Linked DNA regions of Oryctolagus cuniculus. The protein of the gene in region 1 interacts with the protein of each later gene in a pairwise test. Links are inferred from orthologs where the notes say so. Each region holds a gene or a part of one and is shown in the gene's direction. Other genes may lie near its edges.

The links.
Region 2: the proteins of PAK1 (region 1) and RHOJ interact in binary tests that used the Homo sapiens proteins (3 or more experiments, as listed by UniProt). The link is inferred for Oryctolagus cuniculus from reciprocal best matches to the Homo sapiens genes PAK1 and RHOJ.
Region 3: the proteins of PAK1 (region 1) and NCK2 interact in binary tests that used the Homo sapiens proteins (3 or more experiments, as listed by UniProt). The link is inferred for Oryctolagus cuniculus from reciprocal best matches to the Homo sapiens genes PAK1 and NCK2.

The regions. Positions count from the first base shown.
Region 1 is NC_091432.1:68,609,953-68,616,093, reverse strand, and holds the start of PAK1 (serine/threonine-protein kinase PAK 1), read left to right. Parts: upstream 1-2,560; 5' UTR 2,561-3,143; intron 3,144-6,141. UniProt on the Homo sapiens protein: Protein kinase involved in intracellular signaling pathways downstream of integrins and receptor-type kinases that plays an important role in cytoskeleton dynamics, in cell adhesion, migration, proliferation, apoptosis, mitosis, and in vesicle-mediated transport processes.
Region 2 is NC_091451.1:7,234,263-7,240,548, reverse strand, and holds the start of RHOJ (rho-related GTP-binding protein RhoJ), read left to right. Parts: upstream 1-1,977; 5' UTR 1,978-2,854; coding exon 2,855-3,032; intron 3,033-6,286.
Region 3 is NC_091433.1:102,700,846-102,705,185, reverse strand, and holds the end of NCK2 (cytoplasmic protein NCK2), read left to right. Parts: intron 1-1,567; coding exon 1,568-1,762; 3' UTR 1,763-2,629; downstream 2,630-4,340. UniProt on the Homo sapiens protein: Adapter protein which associates with tyrosine-phosphorylated growth factor receptors or their cellular substrates. Maintains low levels of EIF2S1 phosphorylation by promoting its dephosphorylation by PP1.

The DNA.
Region 1 (6,141 bases):
AACAAGAACTCCCCTGGTGGTAAGTGGAGAAGGGATAGCCTCTGACACACTGTCCTGACACGGTGCCTAAGGCTCTTTACCTGTTCAAAGATTGGACATCTAAGTGGAATGAATGTATTAGAATACGCAACAACTCTTGTTTAGGGATTTTTCAACCTTTTTTTCGTTACTGCCTTCCTAATGGAGAAAAAGCCTTCCTAGCCAGAGAAATTAAATACTAGGATTTTTTTTTTTCCAAATAGGATTGGGCTTTGGAGGCCACAAAGCATTGTAATATCTGCTATTTTCATCCACCTAAGGACCAGGTTTCATTCCTTTGGCACAGATATTGCCCCCATTGAGAATGAACACTTTTATGGTGTGGGGACAGTGTTAATTATAATTTTGTAGAGTTGGCTGGATTTTACTGTCTGAAAAGCCTTAAATAGAATTTCACTTGTCAGGTCACTCACTTATCAACTCAAGACATGGTGTGATGATCGCCATGAGATTTCTTTTTTCTAAAACCCCAAAACAACTCTTCTTCATCTGAAGAGCAGACGATGATGAAAGGCCAGAGTGTAACAGTTAGGGTAGAGGAAATGCCTTGAATGTTCTCTTATGCTAAAGTCATTGTTCGGGACTGGGACTCAGACTGGCAATGGAGACCAGTGAATGGGTGCAGCTGAGAACCTGGCACCTCCAGCAAGTACGCCCCTCCCAGTTACCAGCGGCTACCTTCCCTTGGAGTTTGCTGTTAGTTTCCTGTGGCTGACACACACTATATTATCATCACACATAGAGTGGCTGAAAATGTTTATTACTTTATGGTTCTGTAGTTCTGAAGTCCAAAATGGGTGTCAGTGGGCTAAAATTAAGGTGTTGGCAGCGCTCTGTTCCTTTCTGGAGGCTTCAGAAGAGGATCTGTCTTTCTGGCTTTTCCATCTCCTGGAGTCTGCTCCCAAAAGCAGGGGAGCCCCGCCTCAAAATCCTTAATTTGGAGGGAGAATCAAGTTCGTGGATAAAGTTCATAAACCTTGCCCGTTGGCATGAAGGCAAATTCTGATGTTTGCTATCTTTCCTTCCCTTATTAAAGTACTACATGCCATAAAAGGCGTGGAAATACTATAGGATTACAGAATTGTCAAAGCTCAGGGAAACTCTAGAAATATTAGTCAAATAAATAAATGAACATGACATTTGAGCTCAGCTTTGTAGAATCAATAGGTGTTGGCCAGTCACATAAGGAGTGAAGGGCTCAGAGACATGAAGAAGTGTGTATTGCGAGAATGTTAAATAGTATTTTAGTGTGGCTGGAGGAAAAGCTATATGATGAGTGATGGAGCTGAAAAAGTCAGGTTGTGAAGTCCCAGGTTAAGGATTTTAGACTTTATCCTGAAAGCAATAAAAACCTTTCAGAGTGTTTAAATAGAGGAGGACATCATCATATTTGTGGTGGTCAGTGGATTGGATCTGGAGCAACTGAAGGTTGCGCCAGTAGTTCATGTGATGGTGGAGGAAGAGAAGGGCAAGGACCTGCAAAGTAGAATTGACAAGACCTGACGTCCAGTTTGGTAGGCAGGTAGAGAGAATCTGGACTTTCGTCCAGGTTTCTGTTTTCACTGACTGCTGGATTGTGTGGTCGATTCACTGAGACCAGGAAGGCACAAGAGTCGCAAGGTTGGAGGGAAATGACTGGTAATAGTCAACATTCCAAAGGGCTGACTATGCTTAATTGTCACTATCATTTTTATGGCTTCAGGTAGGCTTAGAGAGATTAAGTTAAGGATACACAAGTACCACTTATTATGGAGAAAGTATGGTTTAAAAACGTTAAGATCCTATTACTAACATTTATATGGATGATACGTATTTGAAGCAAGACAATCTTGTTCCAGACTTTCAGCCACCAATGCTGTCCAGTACTGGACACGTTGAATCTGAGGTACAACAATGCATGCAGGTGAACGCTGTGGGGGAGGTTTTGGTAAATACATAATCTTTGCTCCAGGGCAAGGTTTGGAGAAAGTAGACATCATACAAAGAGAAAAACGGGAAAGGAAGCCATTTTTTTTTTTCTGTGTCAGGTCACCATGGTTATCCTTTGTCTCCCCACTTTGGCTCCCACATCCTACCCAAAGAAAACAATTAGAATCATAGATAATGTGGCTCTGAGATCACACGAAACCGTTTTCAAATTCAGTCCTTGGAAATGAGCTAACGAATGCGGTGGTGCTTTGTAAGCAGCAGTCCCTGAATCCTGAGGGTTAGCCGCCTTTTTCCGATTGCAGCCATCCCAGAAATTGCCCAAAGGTTTTCAGTCACAAAGTCCATAGCAAAGAAACCTGCGGCGGGTTGAGAGCACCCGCAGAGAGCAGAGGAGCGGGCGCAATGACGTCACAGGCAACCGGGTGATTCCCCAGCCTCTGGCGTCATGAGGCGATGACGTCATCCCGGCGCTCGCCCTCCCCCTCGCCTGGGCTGGTCTCGCTCACGTGGGCCAGCCGGCCCTCCCCGCCCCCTCCCACCTGCGGGAGGCGGGGCGGGCAGGGCTCCGCCGGCGCCGAGGCCTCACAGGGGCGGGGCGGGGGCCGGTGGGCGAGGCGGTCGGGCCCGGGAGGCGGCTTACAATAGGGCGCCTGCGGCGGGGCGGCGGCGGGCAGCGGCTGCCACTGGAACTGAAGGTGCCGGCTACACAGTGGACGCCCCCTCACGGCTGCCCACACACGCCCTCCCCCTCAGCTCGCCCATCGCGCCTCCCCGCCTCGCTCTGCTGTCCTACTCCGGAGACACTTTGCCCTCGGACTCTTCTTTTCTCCGAACCCCGCAGTCCCCAAAATCCCGCTCAAAGAACTCTGCCTCCCCATCGACTTCCCACCTCCCTCCGAGGCCGTCCGAGCCCCTCACATCCCCGCCCCTCTCAGCCCACCGAGCCGGCCCCGCAGCGCCTCCTCCCGCCTCACCGCCCCCTCCCTCGCAGGTCCCTCGGTCCTGAGGGGATCCCCAGAGCCAGCGGCCGGGGGGAGGCGCGCGGCGGCGGCGGCGGGAGGGAGAAAGTGAAGCGGCGGCTCGCGCACACTCGCGCGCTCACCCCCGGCCCGGCCGCCGCCACCGGGGTGGAGGAGCAGGAGGAGGAGCCGAGCGGAGCAGAGCGAGCACGGAAGGTAAGAGCCGGCCTCCGGTCGGTGCCCCTGGCGTTGCGGGCTGTCCCGGCTGAGGCGCGCGGTCGGGGTGGGCTGGACGGGGTGGGGGCCCTGGGCGCATTCATTCTGGGCGCCGGGTCCCGGCGGGCGGGGGCGCCAGGTGAGGTGAGGCGGGCGCCGCCCCGCGAGGCGGGCCGCTCCCGTCGGGCCAACAAAGGCCCCCTGTGCACGCACCCGCGCGACCGCCGGTCTCGGACGCCGGGACATCGGGGGGCCGGGAGGGGGGAGGCCCCGGCGGGGGAGGGGCCGGGCCGAGGCTGGGAGACCAGACAGGTCCGAGTCCGGGACCAGCTCCGTCCCGAACTTGGCCGTCCCGCAGCGCTCACCGTGGCCCGCGACGGGGAAGCCTGGCCACAGGGCGCCCGCTTCATTCTGCGTGGAAAAGTTCCCCAGTCCAGGCTTGGAGAGCCACCGTTAGGGTTCAACTTGAAAAGAAAACAGTAGTGCGATTTATGCAGCCCTTCCCCCATCCCGGGAGTACTCCCTAACTTAGGAAGGTGAAAACAATCGAGGAAGGGAGAATTATAGTTGTTTTGTATTAGCTATTCCATTTCAAAAGACATTATTACAGCGTTCACTGTTTTGAATATTTCAACGGTAAACATTACTGGCAGTGTTTTGGAAGAATACTTAAGAAGTACTGGGTGTGTGTCGGTGTTGCCAGTAAAATCCTTGTTAAACCCCTTGGATAATTGTCTTACACTTCACTGTATTTTTTAACTGTGAAAGGTGAAGGGAAAGGTTGGTATTGTGGTTACCAATAAACATTCAAATCCATCACTCTTGTCTTTAAAGAATTGTTCTTGGGAAAAATGTTTAATTTCGTCAACTGTGTATTTGAGCTTTCTCATCTCTTGTCAGGAGAAAACAGGAGTCCACAGTACAAAGATACCTCATTTGTCTTACCTTGTGGCTTTACCTACTTCCTGTGTGACCTTGAGCAGGTCACTTCCAGCCTTAAAATTCTAGGAGTTTGCTTTTGTGTCCCTGGAATGGGCAGGTAGGCAGCATACCTACTTCACTTTCAAGAGTCCAGTGAAGAATATGCCTCCCCCCAAGTCTTTGCTGGCATCTGTCCCCTCCCTCTCAGGTAGAGCTGACTTCTCCCCGTTGGGGCTTTCAGAGGCCCACTGAGATTTCTCCTATGGCACTTGTAGCATTTTAATTTCTGTTTGGGAAATCCTGAATCAGGTGCATATGAAACCTACCCCACATCAGCTCTAATTCTCAAAAAAGTTTTGGGAATATGGACCCTGAAACATTCCCTGAACCTTATACATACCTTTACGTGAGCTCGTGGGTCTACCTGGTAAAATTGCTTATTCAGTTATTCTCTTATCCATTATTACTGGAATCTGCTTCAAGCCTCTTGCCACAGCCATGGGGATTTCAAGAGTGTTAAGACCTTCCTTGTCTTCAAAGAGCTCAAAGTCTAGTGGGTGAGGTAGACAAGTAAACAATGCAGCCTGCCCTAATCTCCGGGGGACTTCAGTTGTACAGGGAGTAGTGTGCAATAATTGAGGTTGCTGGACCTGTTTTACAAGTTTGCTTCTGGCCAAATTGAGTTCTTCAGGCTGGCCCCTCATCCATAAGAAAAAGTAAAATTCTACATACATTTATTGAGCACAGGTTTTGAGACTCTGTATAGACTTGAAGGAAGCAGCACCTCAAAGGAAGGCATTTGTGTAACCACAGGGATTTTGTAAAACAAAGCGTAATCACTTAAGTAATTCCTACCTCTGACTATTCATTGTCAAAAGATAAATTTCAGACTCCTTAGCTTGGAACTAGAAACTGGAGATCTGAGCATTGTCTACCTTTGCAGCCTCAGTTTTGGTAAACTCTCTCCTACCACTTTTTTCTCATCTGTGCTTCCCCTTGTGCTGTTTCATCTGCCTAGAATGTCTGCCTTCTTCACCTTCCCTGCCTACAGAGGTGTCCTTGTAATAAGTTGCCTTTCCATCCTCTGGCTCATGTACACACCACGTTTTTAGTTCTGTCTGGCACTGTATTACAATTATGTTAAGTCTGTGCTTATCTTTTTTCACTAGCCTGTGAATTTCATGAGGGCATGATCTGTTTAGTTTTAGTGGCTAGCAAAGGACCTGGCATTGAATAAGTGTTTAAATGAATGAATATGTGTATAAAGAATAAAGTCAAGGCCCATGAGTTAGAGATTCCTAATAGTTTCTCAAAGTGTGGTCCCTGGATCACAGCTTCAGCATAATCTGGCATCTTGTTAGCAAATCAGTGGGTACTAGTTGAAACCTACACATGAACAACTCTGAGGTTGGGGCTCCCACAGAGACCTTTGCTTTAACAAGCTCTCTTAAGTGGTTCTGATGCTTGCTGAAGTTTGCAAACCAGTTTCAGAATTGCCTCCTGATACCCTAGTAGCTCCCTTTCTCCCTTTTTTTCTTCCATGACACTTACTGCCTGACATTCCATTCCATCCCACTTATAATCTGTCTTAAGAGAATGAAAACTTCTTGAGAACAGGAAGTTTTGTCTGTTTTCTCCATTGCTTTAATTCTAATGCCTAGAGTAATGACAGCATAGAGCAGGAACTCAAGAGTTTGTTGAATGAATACTATAAGGTGATTTAGTCCCATTTACTGCCAACTGCTACTTTGGGGTTATAGTTAAGAATCATTCTCATAATGAAAAGGAAGTACACTTTAATATGTAAATCCAAAGGATTCCTAACATTTTTGGGGATGTTTTAGGTAGAAATTTTCTTCCCTTTTACATCTGTCATTCTCCAACCAAAGCCTGCAGGATTTTTTATCTTTTTATTTTGTTTGTTTTAGCCATTACCTGAAAACTGCTGTTGAACTATCCTAGGCAGGGATTGTTTCTTGGGAATTTGTAATTTGGTTTTGCAAGTCTAAATAAGCACCCTCACTTTCGAGATGTGTTTTTTTTTTTTTAAAGATTTTTATTTATTTATTTATTTGAA
Region 2 (6,286 bases), on another chromosome or scaffold:
ATCCTCCACCTGCGGCACCGGCACACCAGGTTCTAGTCCCGGTCAGGGTGCCGGATTCTGTCCCAGTTGCTCCTCTTCCAGTCCAACTCTCTGTTGAGGCCCGGAAGTGCAGTGGAGGATGGCCCGAGTGCTTGGGCCCTGCACCCCATGGGAGACCAGGAGAAGCACCTGACTCCTGGCTTCGGATCAGTGCAGCACTGGCCGTAGAGGCCACTTGAGGGTGAACCAATGGAAAATGGAAGACCTTTCTCTCTGTCTCTCTCTCTCTGACTGTCTCACTCTGCCTGTCAAAAAAAAAAAAGACAAGACAATTCAGTGTTTTACCTTAGGGCTATAAGGCAATAGATTTGTGATTGCTTGCCCGGGTGGAATGGTAAGAATATATTTTAGTTCCAAAGATTTAAAGGGATAACAATTAGAACTGGCATGGAGACTTTATCTAAAATATTGTTTTCTTTTCTTTTTTAAAAAATATTTATTTTATTTGAAAGGCAAAGTTACACACAGAGAGAGAGAGAAATCTTCCATCCATTGGTTCACTACCCAAATGGCCACAATGTCTGCAACTGGGCCAGGCCAAAGCCAGGAGCTTCTTCAGGTCTCCCACGTGGGTACAGGAGCCACAGCACTTGGGCCATCTTCTACTGCTTACCCAGGCCATAGCAGAAAGCTGGATCAGAAGTGGAGTAGCCAGGACTCAAACTGGCACCCATATGGGATGCCGGCACTGTAGGCCGTGGCTTTACCCACCAGCTATGCCACAGTGCCAGCCCCTCCTTTTTTTAATGTTTATTTATTTTCATATACTTAGAGAGAGCTTCTATCCACTATTGTACTCCCCCAGTTGGCTGTAATAGCAAAAGCCAGGAGCTAAGAACTCCATATGAGACTCCAATGTGGGTGTCACGGGCTTAGGCACTCCTAGGACGCATTAGCAGGAAGTAGGTCAGAAACAGAACAGAAGGGGCTGGATCCCAGGTGCTATGATATGGGATGCATGTGTCCTAAGCGAGGGCTTTACCTATTGCACCCTCCCTTACATTATTGATAGCTACCAACTAAAAGATTTCTCTCCCAGCTCCCCAATAAAAAAAAAAAAAAAAAAAAAAAAAAAAAAAAAAACCTCATCAAAAAAAGAAAATCTCAAAAATGATTGGGTAATTTTTGAATCCTACAACATCAGTGTTCAAAAGTCTCAAAGAAAGAGTTCCGCTGTTTTGGCTCATTTATCAAAATGATTTGCAGAGTTCTACTTCTTTTCCAAGACCAAATACATTCATCAAACACTGAGCTTCAAAGGGGCTTCATTTAGAGTGACCCAACCAACAAATAAATTCACTTCCAAGGGCTCCTTTGTAATAAAAGAGGGCCAGGCTGGCCCACGGGGACAGGACTAAATCAAAAAGGGAAATGTCTAGGCAGTATCAGCCTGAGGAACCCTAGACGAACCAAAAACATGTCTTCACTCTCTCCTGTCCGAGGGTGTTACGCAGAATCCAAGCACATGTGTGTTTATTTCCTCAAAAGAAAATGCAGACTTCCCACGTCTGATTTATGTGCTACAGCCGTAAGAAATGTTTGTGTCTGGAATACATATCTGGGTGCTATACTCAAATAGAGCAGTTTGTAAGCCTGATCTCTCTCTCTCTCTCTCTCTCTCTCTCTCTTACACACACACACACACACACACACGTGTACCTTGAAATGTTCATGGAAAAGGGAATCCAAAGAGATGTTTAATTTGGGCGCAGAAAACGTAGCAATCCACACGTAAATTTTCGCATAGTGTACATTTTTCTAGCAACTTTGTAAAGAGCCCTCGTGTGTACGGATTTCTAAAGGTTTTGCAGCAAAATAAACTTGTCTTTCGAGTCCGCATTCCACGAACTTGTTGAAGTACTCTCGCGTTACACCTGCGACCTACCAAAAAAAAAAAAAAAATCACCTTGGAAGGGTTGCTTCTTTATTGCAGCGAAGCGTGGCGAGGGTGCTCACTGAAGCCAGCCAAGAAACGGCCGTGTTTAATTCTCAGAGCCCTCCACCGGTGACTCAGGGAGCGATGATGTCATATGTTATGCTACAACTGCTGGTGCGGTTCTGCGCGCTCGCTCCAGCCGTTCCCTCTTGCTCCTGGGGCAGCCGGGACTCGCCGGCCCCCAGCCTTTCCCAGCCAGCCAGGAGCAAGCAGGCTGCCTAGCAGCGATGCAACAGGAAGTCTGAGAGCCTGAGCCGGCAGCGGGACCCCTAGTGCTTTCCCACTCCGTGTCCTGGCATCGTTCCCCACAAGTACAAACACACACACAGAGCTCCCATTGTTGCAGCCCTCCCAGCCCACTGATCCTAATATGGAATGCAGCAGGAAACCCATGATTTCCTGAGCTTCGGCAAGCTGGAGGAAGCAAGGGAGGGGGGTGGAAAAACTCCATTAAAAAGCCCAGCTTTCCTCCATGTTAGCTGTGAAGTGGGGAAAAAAAAAATGGGGACGATTTAGCCGAATCCCAGCCGGGCTGCAGACGGGCAGAGCAGAGCGGGAAGCCGCAAGCCGCTGAAATTTCTAGACTGCCAGCGAAGCCTCCAGGACTCTGGAGATGAAGATTGCTTAAACGGAGAAGGGAGAGGATCGGACCCTTCTCACAACCCTCCTCCCTTCCACACCCCACCCCGCTGCGAGTGCCTGTCGCTGTTCGGGACCGCGATGGCGAGCGACGGGGCGCACGCCAGCCTCCGACGTGTCCGGATGCTCCAAGGGACCCCAAGCGAGGCAGAGTGAACTCCGTCCAGCCTGGCACCGGCTCTGCGGGACAAGCGGCGGGAGCAGCAGCCAGCGGGAGTCCCAGCCGCCGCGGCCGCGAGCATGAACTGCACCGAGGGGACTGACAGCAGCTGCGGCTGTGCGGACCACGCCGAGAAGAAGATGCTCAAGTGCGTGGTGGTCGGCGACGGCGCGGTGGGGAAGACCTGCTTGCTCATGAGCTACGCCAACGACGCCTTCCCCGAGGAATACGTGCCCACCGTGTTCGACCACTATGCAGGTAGGGAGAGCCGGGGTGCGCCGGCGGGGGCGGGGGGGAGCGGAGACCCCAGGCGCGCAAGGACCCGGCTTGGGTCTCGCGGCAGCGCTGGGTGCGGGCCTGCGTGCGCGTCATCGGGTGGCTGAGCCTCACGCACAACGTGTGAGGATGCTTCCCAAAGGAGGTGGGCAGGGGCATGGAAAGACACTTTTATGGCGGTGCAAAATGTTGGAACCCAGGCGTAGGTGCGGTGCGCACAGTCTGCGGGAAAGGATTTCAAAAACTTTTGCACCGAAATAAACGTTGTCTTCTGTCTCATGAACATTTTGGAGCACCCTCATTTGAACAAAGCCTCTGCAGGACCGTTGGGAGACCAGTTTGCTTGTGGCGCTGTATCTGAACAGTTTCTCCACTCGTGGAGCAGATGGGTGACACTGGGACACACTCAAACTGCCCCCTGGATTGGGCGTTTTATTCAACATCTGCTTGGAGAGTCACTGCTTCCTGTCAACTTTCTCAAATGTGGCGTGATTGCATTCACGATTCTTTTCTACGGGAAAAAAAAATCACCACTCACACACAACTGGTCAAAGCAAGGTTCCTGCCAGTTCTCATCTCAGATCTGGAAATGCAAAGACTAATAAATAAGACCCTCATTTCTCCTAAAACACTTGGTGCCCTAAGACTATACTTTCATCTTCCTGGGGACCGAGAGCAGGGCAGGGAAGGCAGGGCGTGTTAAAAGCTTGTAAATAACTATTAAGCAACGTATAGCTTGCATTAAAAAATTGTTTTAATTAATATTTTTTAAAGTACAAATGCAACCGAAGCCTGAATTACTTTAAAACCTGTCCCCAAAAGACAAAATCGAGCATGCAATGTTTTAAAGTGTGACGGTGACAACCCTGTAGTCACTATTCTGCCAGCGGATTTTTTTCTTTTTTGAGTGTTCTCAAGTTTGTAGGTGTACTTGTCTGTGAGGTAGCATTATCTAAAATTTCCCATTTTGACTCTCGCTTTTTCTCTTAATTTCTAGAACAAATATTAGTAAGTTTCTCATTTGCAAATTCATGAAAGTCTTGAAGTTTGCAGTAACTCACTTTATAATTGTTTGTTGGGACATGGCGATTGGTACCGTGACTTATCAGAGGTTTGAGAGTCTGTAAGAGAAAAATTCCTCTTCTTTCAATTTGGTTTTGGGTCAGGATCAGCTACAGAGAAATGATCCACAGGAAGGCGACGTGCGTCGCGTCTTTGCTCCGTGGCCATTTGAAGTCATCCTACCATAGGAAGTAGCTTCCTCTCTGGAACTGGACATTTCCCAAGTCCCCTTCCTCCTGCTTGTGTGTGACTTGGGACAGACAAAGCGACAGAGGATGTGGAGTATCTACCTCGCAGAGGGTTTCTCTCTCTTTGTAGACATTGAGAGTCAATGTTAATGCTGGCCCCCTTAAGCTTTTCTGAAAATATGACTATGCCCAGAAAAGAACATTTTAATGAGAGCAGAAAAGAGAGAGAGCGCGCACGTACACTTTCATCTTCAGAAAAAAAAAACTAATTATAAAATCTGGGGATCCGTGCTAACATCTTAGCATAAGTTATTATTCCACCCCTTCTTCCTGCAAGCAAAAGAGAAGTGGCTAGTATCTCCCTTCAAAAACTTCTAGATCAAAGGTAGAACCCAACATCTGCTAAGAGGGGAGGCTTCAGAGGCTTATGAAAATCACGTATAAATCTCTTCATCTATCGAGTGAAGCGGTCACAGCATGCTATCAGAAAGAAAAAGAAAAAAATCTTTAGAGATAGAATTAGCCTGTAAAAGCACAATCAGGGAACATACAAAGGCTGAGCCACAGCAAGATTCCACTACAATCAAATTGATGTTTCATTCAGGCACATACTAGCTATGGTTTGAGCATCAGGGACCCTTGAAGGTGTTGGCTACATATTAGTATATTTATTATTATTTATTTATTTATTTAAGACAGGTGGTTGGAGAGGGCTGTGCTGGGCTGAAGCTGGGAGCTGGGAAGTCAGTTCAGGTCTCCCATGTGGGTGGCAGGAGCCCAGAAGGATACTGTCATCAGCAGTGAGAGTCAGGGCTCAAACCCAAGTTGTCCCAGCCAGTGTCTAAATCACTAAGCCGCACACTCACCCTTACTGTATTGTTTTAGCTCCCCACCTATTCAGAATGGCACTTAGCACGTAGTAGGCATTCTTAAACATGGTTGCTTTGATTTACACTTTATTCCTCTTTAAGTGCATTATCATGGTGCCGGTGCTGTGCTGCAGCTGGTTAAGCCACTGTCTGCTACACCGCATTCTATATGGGCGCCAGTTTGAGTCCTGGCTGCCCCACTTCCAATCCCACTCTCTGCTAATGCGCCTGGGAGAAGAGTGGAAGATGGCCCAAGTGCTTGGGCCCCTGCATCCACATGGGAGACCCGGAAGAAGTTCCTGACTCCTGGCTTTGGCCTGGCCCAGCCCCAGCTGTTACAACCACTTGGGAAGTGAAACAGTGGATAGAAGATTCTCTCTCTCTCTCTCTCTCTCTCTCAGATCACATACATTTTTAAAAATAGCTTTTCGGCCAGTGCTGTGGCTCAATAGGCTAATCCTCCCCCTGCGGTGCCAGCACACCAGGTTCTAGTCCTGGTCAGGGCACCAGATTCTGTCCCAGTTGCTCCTCTTCCAGTCCAGCTCTCTGCTGTGGCCAGGGAGTGCAGTGGAGGATGGCCCAAGTGCTTGGGCCCTGTACCTGCATGGGAGACCAGGAGAGGCATCTGGCTCCTGGCTTTGGATCAGCATGGTGCACCGGCCGCAACACACCGGCTGCAGCGGCCATTGGAGGGTGAACAAACAGAAAAGGAAGACCTTTCTCTCTCTCTCACTGTCCACTCTGCCTGTCAAAAAAAAATAATAACTTTCCAAAGTTCTTCTAAAAGGAAGCAAATACACATACCTCTAGGGTTGTAATGGGGAGGTTACTTCCACCAGCAAAGCCTCCAGATCATTTTCCCCACCACCCTGATACATGACCCGGTGGAACTCAATCCTTAGACAGTCATGTGAGAATTACAATCAACTATAACAGAACTAAATGGCTTCTTCTACCCTACTGACCCACTCAACAATGACAACCTGCAATTGAGTTATTGAGTCTTTAGAGAACTTGGAATTTCAAGAGCACTAGGATTTTTTTCACTAATAACGTCCCATCCTGGGAAAGCAGAGATGGACTAGTAAGGATGGAAGTGTAACAGTCTGCTGAAGAT
Region 3 (4,340 bases), on another chromosome or scaffold:
GCCTTCAGAACCACACACAGCCGCCCACCTGGACGGAGACAGCGGGGCGAGCTTGCGTCGTCTTGTTCAGCCCTGTGAGCACAGTCGCACTTCGAGGGTGCGCAGGCCACACGGTGACTCAGGAGGAGGCCGCCTGGTGCCGTGTGGATGTGCATGTTGGTGGAGCAGCTTGGCCTGAGTGTGCCATCCAGGTCTGACCCTCTAGGGGCTGTGAAAATAGTAGCTGGCCTGCATCCTCTTTGGGGATGGACCTTCGGGGCTCTTCCTGGAGTCTCATTCACCAGCATTTCCTGGGGGCTCCCCCAAGGCATTCGGGTAGCATGGAGATAAAGAGGGGCTTTTCCCTCCAAGGCTTATTCTTGCTTTGTTGGTCCTGGGCAGAGGGACAGCGCACAGGCTAACTGTAAACTCCATTGTCCCTGTCTGCCTGCTGTGCTAACAGCTGTGGCTGGTGTGTGCACCCAGCTGCCCTGTGCAGTGTGGATCTTCTCGGACACCCATATTAACAGCTGTGGCTAGTGTGTGCACCCAGCTGCCCTGTGCAGTGTGGATCTTCTCGGACACCCATGCTCCTGAGTAGGCGCCCACGTGGGCTCTGTTAATCCTTGTGTCCAGGCTCTGCTCCCTTCTCCTCAGAAGAATGTTATTTGAGGGCTTTTGGAAACTTGTGGCCAGAGTCTGGCTGCGAGGGAGGTGGAGGGAGGGTAGGAGCAGAGCTTGTCCCTAGGAATTACGAGAGCAGAAAGTGGGTTGCGGACCTGGGTTTGGCTGCCCTAGGTTGTGGCGTAGACTTGGTGCCACATAGCAAGCCACGGAGGAGACAACTGACCTTGTGTGGGACTGGTCTTGGGGGGGAGCATCTGTACTTTGAGCTTAAGGGTATGATAACCACGCAGAAGACAGATGGCCCCAAGAACAACATGGCCAGGACTAGAATGGGCACTGTGTGGGGGAGGTTATGCTTTAGGCTCATTGATTGGGACAATAGGCAGGGGCCAGGTGACGCAGCTGCGGGGGGAGCTCCGAGGGGCTGAGGTCACCCAGGGAGGCCAGGACCCCTCCCCCTTCCCTTCACTGCTGAAAATGAGGCAAGGCCCTCCTCCCTTTGTACACGCCAAGCATCTTACCAGCATCTTAGCCACTAGGCCAGACACCTGCCCTAGGCGTTTATTTTTAAATGGCTTAGACTTTAAAAAAAAAAAAAAAGGTTTAATTTCTAATAGTATTAGAAGTCAGAAGAAGGGAAATTTCTAGCCTCTGCCTGCATGGAAACCACTTGTCTTAGATTCCAGTTTCTCAAAAACAGCTCGGGAAGTGAAAAGTGTTTCCTAGCATTCGGGTCCCACGTGTCAAAGAAGGAGGTGTGTTCAGCACTGAATACTCAGCCAAATGAAGTCCTTGAGCAGGGGTCGTCGGGCGGAGCGGCAGGTGCCGTGGTAGACACCTGCGCCTCTGGGAACCCTGTGGCCCGGGGGTGTGGCCCGTGGGGAGAGGGGTGGAGTACCCCAGAGCGTGCAGCCCGCGCCCTCTCGGGCCCTGGTGTAATCTGTGCCGTTTGCTCCCGCAGCCCAGCGACTTCTCCGTGTCTCTCAAAGCGTCAGGGAAGAACAAACACTTCAAGGTGCAGCTCGTGGACAATGTGTACTGCATTGGGCAGCGGCGATTCCACACCATGGACGAGCTGGTGGAACACTACAAAAAGGCCCCCATCTTCACCAGCGAGCACGGGGAGAAGCTCTACCTCGTCCGGGCGCTGCAGTGACCTGTGCCGTGGGCCCTCGGGTCGGGGCCGCGCCGCGCTGCGCCCACCAGCTCCGGGCGCCACCGCCGGGTGCGACCATCCCTCCTGGCTGGTCTTAGAAGGAGGCGGAAGGGCCGAGTGTCTTCACTTTATTTCTCTCCAACTAGTGGCGGCAACCCTCTGCTCACGTGGAGACCCTGGGCACGGCTGGAGGGCCACCGTGCACGCAGCCAGGGCCCCCAGGCTGCGCAGGCCACGAGGGAGCTGTCCAGTGCCTTGGGGCCGTGCTTGCAATAAAGAATTTTCCTCGAGAGGCATTCTGCAACGGAGGGACCCGGTGACTCAAGATAAGACACGCGTTTTGGTCGTTGACCCCTGAAGTGTGCCATCCACGTAGCGCTGTTTGCTCTTGCCTGCAGCTCCTTTGAACTTCACGGTGATGTATTCAGTTCTCCAAGTCCTACGTATCTGTAGCTGGTTGTTGACACTAATGCGGGATGATTCAGGAAAACAGCTGATCTGTGGGGGAAGCGGAGCTACCAACACTCCACACACAAGCATACACACACCCACGCACACACATGCACGCTGTACACATGCGTGTGCATGTCTGTGTATGTGTGTGTATATACTTAAATATTTTATTTGCTTTACAGGGAAATTTTTCAGGGTTTACAAAAGAAAATGTGATTGGTAGTCAGAGACACAAGATGTTTATGAAGAAATCGTGTTCCCTTTTTTTCTTTACATTTGAACTTCTTTATAGTTTAAATATACAGTCTTGAGATGGCACATTCCTATGATGGAAGAAGGGGTCTTGCGATCCCCTAAACTTGCATACCCAGTTTTTTTGAATATTGTAATAAAAAAAAAAGTATTATGACACGATCCTGTGTGCGTTTGTCTTTGGGGAGACGCTAACTGCTGTGGGGGAGGGGTGACCGCTGTGTTGGGTGACTTCTCCCAGCTTGAAAGGAAGAACCAGGCTCAAGGGCAGGGTCAGGAGTGCACTCCCTGTGACTTTCTTGCCACCGCGTTTTTGAATATTGAAATAACCCCTGCTAACGAGGGAAACTCCAACAAGCTTGCTCTTAACTTCGCTCTTTGAGAATTGCTGGCTTCAGAATGTTTTCTCGACGGTCGCCAGCCAGAGTCTTTGCATTCCCGGTGGCCCTCCTCGGATGTTGCGCTCTGGCTCTCTCCATCTGTCCGTGTTTAGTGGATGGCGGCCGCATGCCAGGCCGTGGGAGTGCAACTCACGGCACGCGGATCAGTGCCCTCTTAGTGGACCAGGACTGATGCACATGGCGCGTCCTCCCCACCCCGTGCTTACCACCACCGTGATCCCCATTGTAGGGACCAAGACGGTTAGGCATGACGTCATGCACAAGGGGATGCAAACCCAGAGTTTTGGAAGGAATTTCAGAGCCGGGTGGTACGTCCTGACTCTGCCATTCCTGTTGGCATTGAGTTCATTGATTCTTTGGTCGCCTTTCACTGTGGTCCATTAGAAGCTGATGGAGAATGAGGCTGGCAGCCCACTGCCCCAGTCGTAGTGAACTGTAAGAGGACGCTGCCTACGTGTCTCTCAGAGCAGCAAACTGCCCTGGGATTAGAGATGCGGCTGCAGTCTGTTTTCCGTCAATGCAGGCCGGAGGATGGGCACACCTGCCCCCAAAAGGAATGTGGCCGTGGGAGCAGCAGGGGGCTAATGGGCACTAATTGGTACCTGGGAATTTATAAATTTGCCAGAGCATTTTTTTTTTAAGATTTATTTATTTGAAAAAGAGTTACAGAGAGAAGTAGAGCCAGAGAGAGAGGTCTTCCATCCACTGGTTCACTCCCCAAATGACAGCAACCGCCAGATCTTAGCTGATCTGAAGCCAGGAGCCAGGAGCTTCTTCCAGGTCTCCCAAGTGGGTGCAGGGACCCAAGTACTTGGGCCATCTTCTGCTTTCCCAGGCCATAGCAGAGAGCTGGATCGGAAGCAGAGCAGCCGGGACTCGAGCTGGTGCCCATATGGGATACGGCACTGTGGGCAGTGGCTTTACCAGCTATGCCACAGTGCCAGCCCCTTGCCAGAGCATTTGAATGGGCCTGTGTTTGAAGATTTACACCACCATCCTGTTCTCCAACATGCCCCACCAGACCGACTCCTTTTCCCAATCATAAACTTGATGTATAACCTTGCCTGCGTGCCTGCTGGCGTGTAGAGTTGTTGGTATCCTCAGAGTAAAAGTGATGGCGGCTCTCAGAATGGATGCTCCCTTCTCTTCATTTGAAAAACCGGACAGCGTTGCAGGTGAGTGAGGTGGAGACATCTGTTGGGTGTTTCATCCAAGAGATAGCATGCCTGTGGACTCTGTCAGTTCTCACTGCTGGGTGCTGCATTTAGACCCGCAAGGATCCCGCTACACCACGAGTACCCGCACTGCTGAGAGACTGGATTTCGACACAGCGCTTCTGGGAGGAATCAAATGATTTTTTAAAGGACTGAAGACAGATGAACATTTTGGTTTCAGGAACTTCTTTTAGGCCTGGGCTCATTAGATTCAGTGCCTTGCCAAATCCTCCTGCTGCCCACGGGTAGACCAGGACT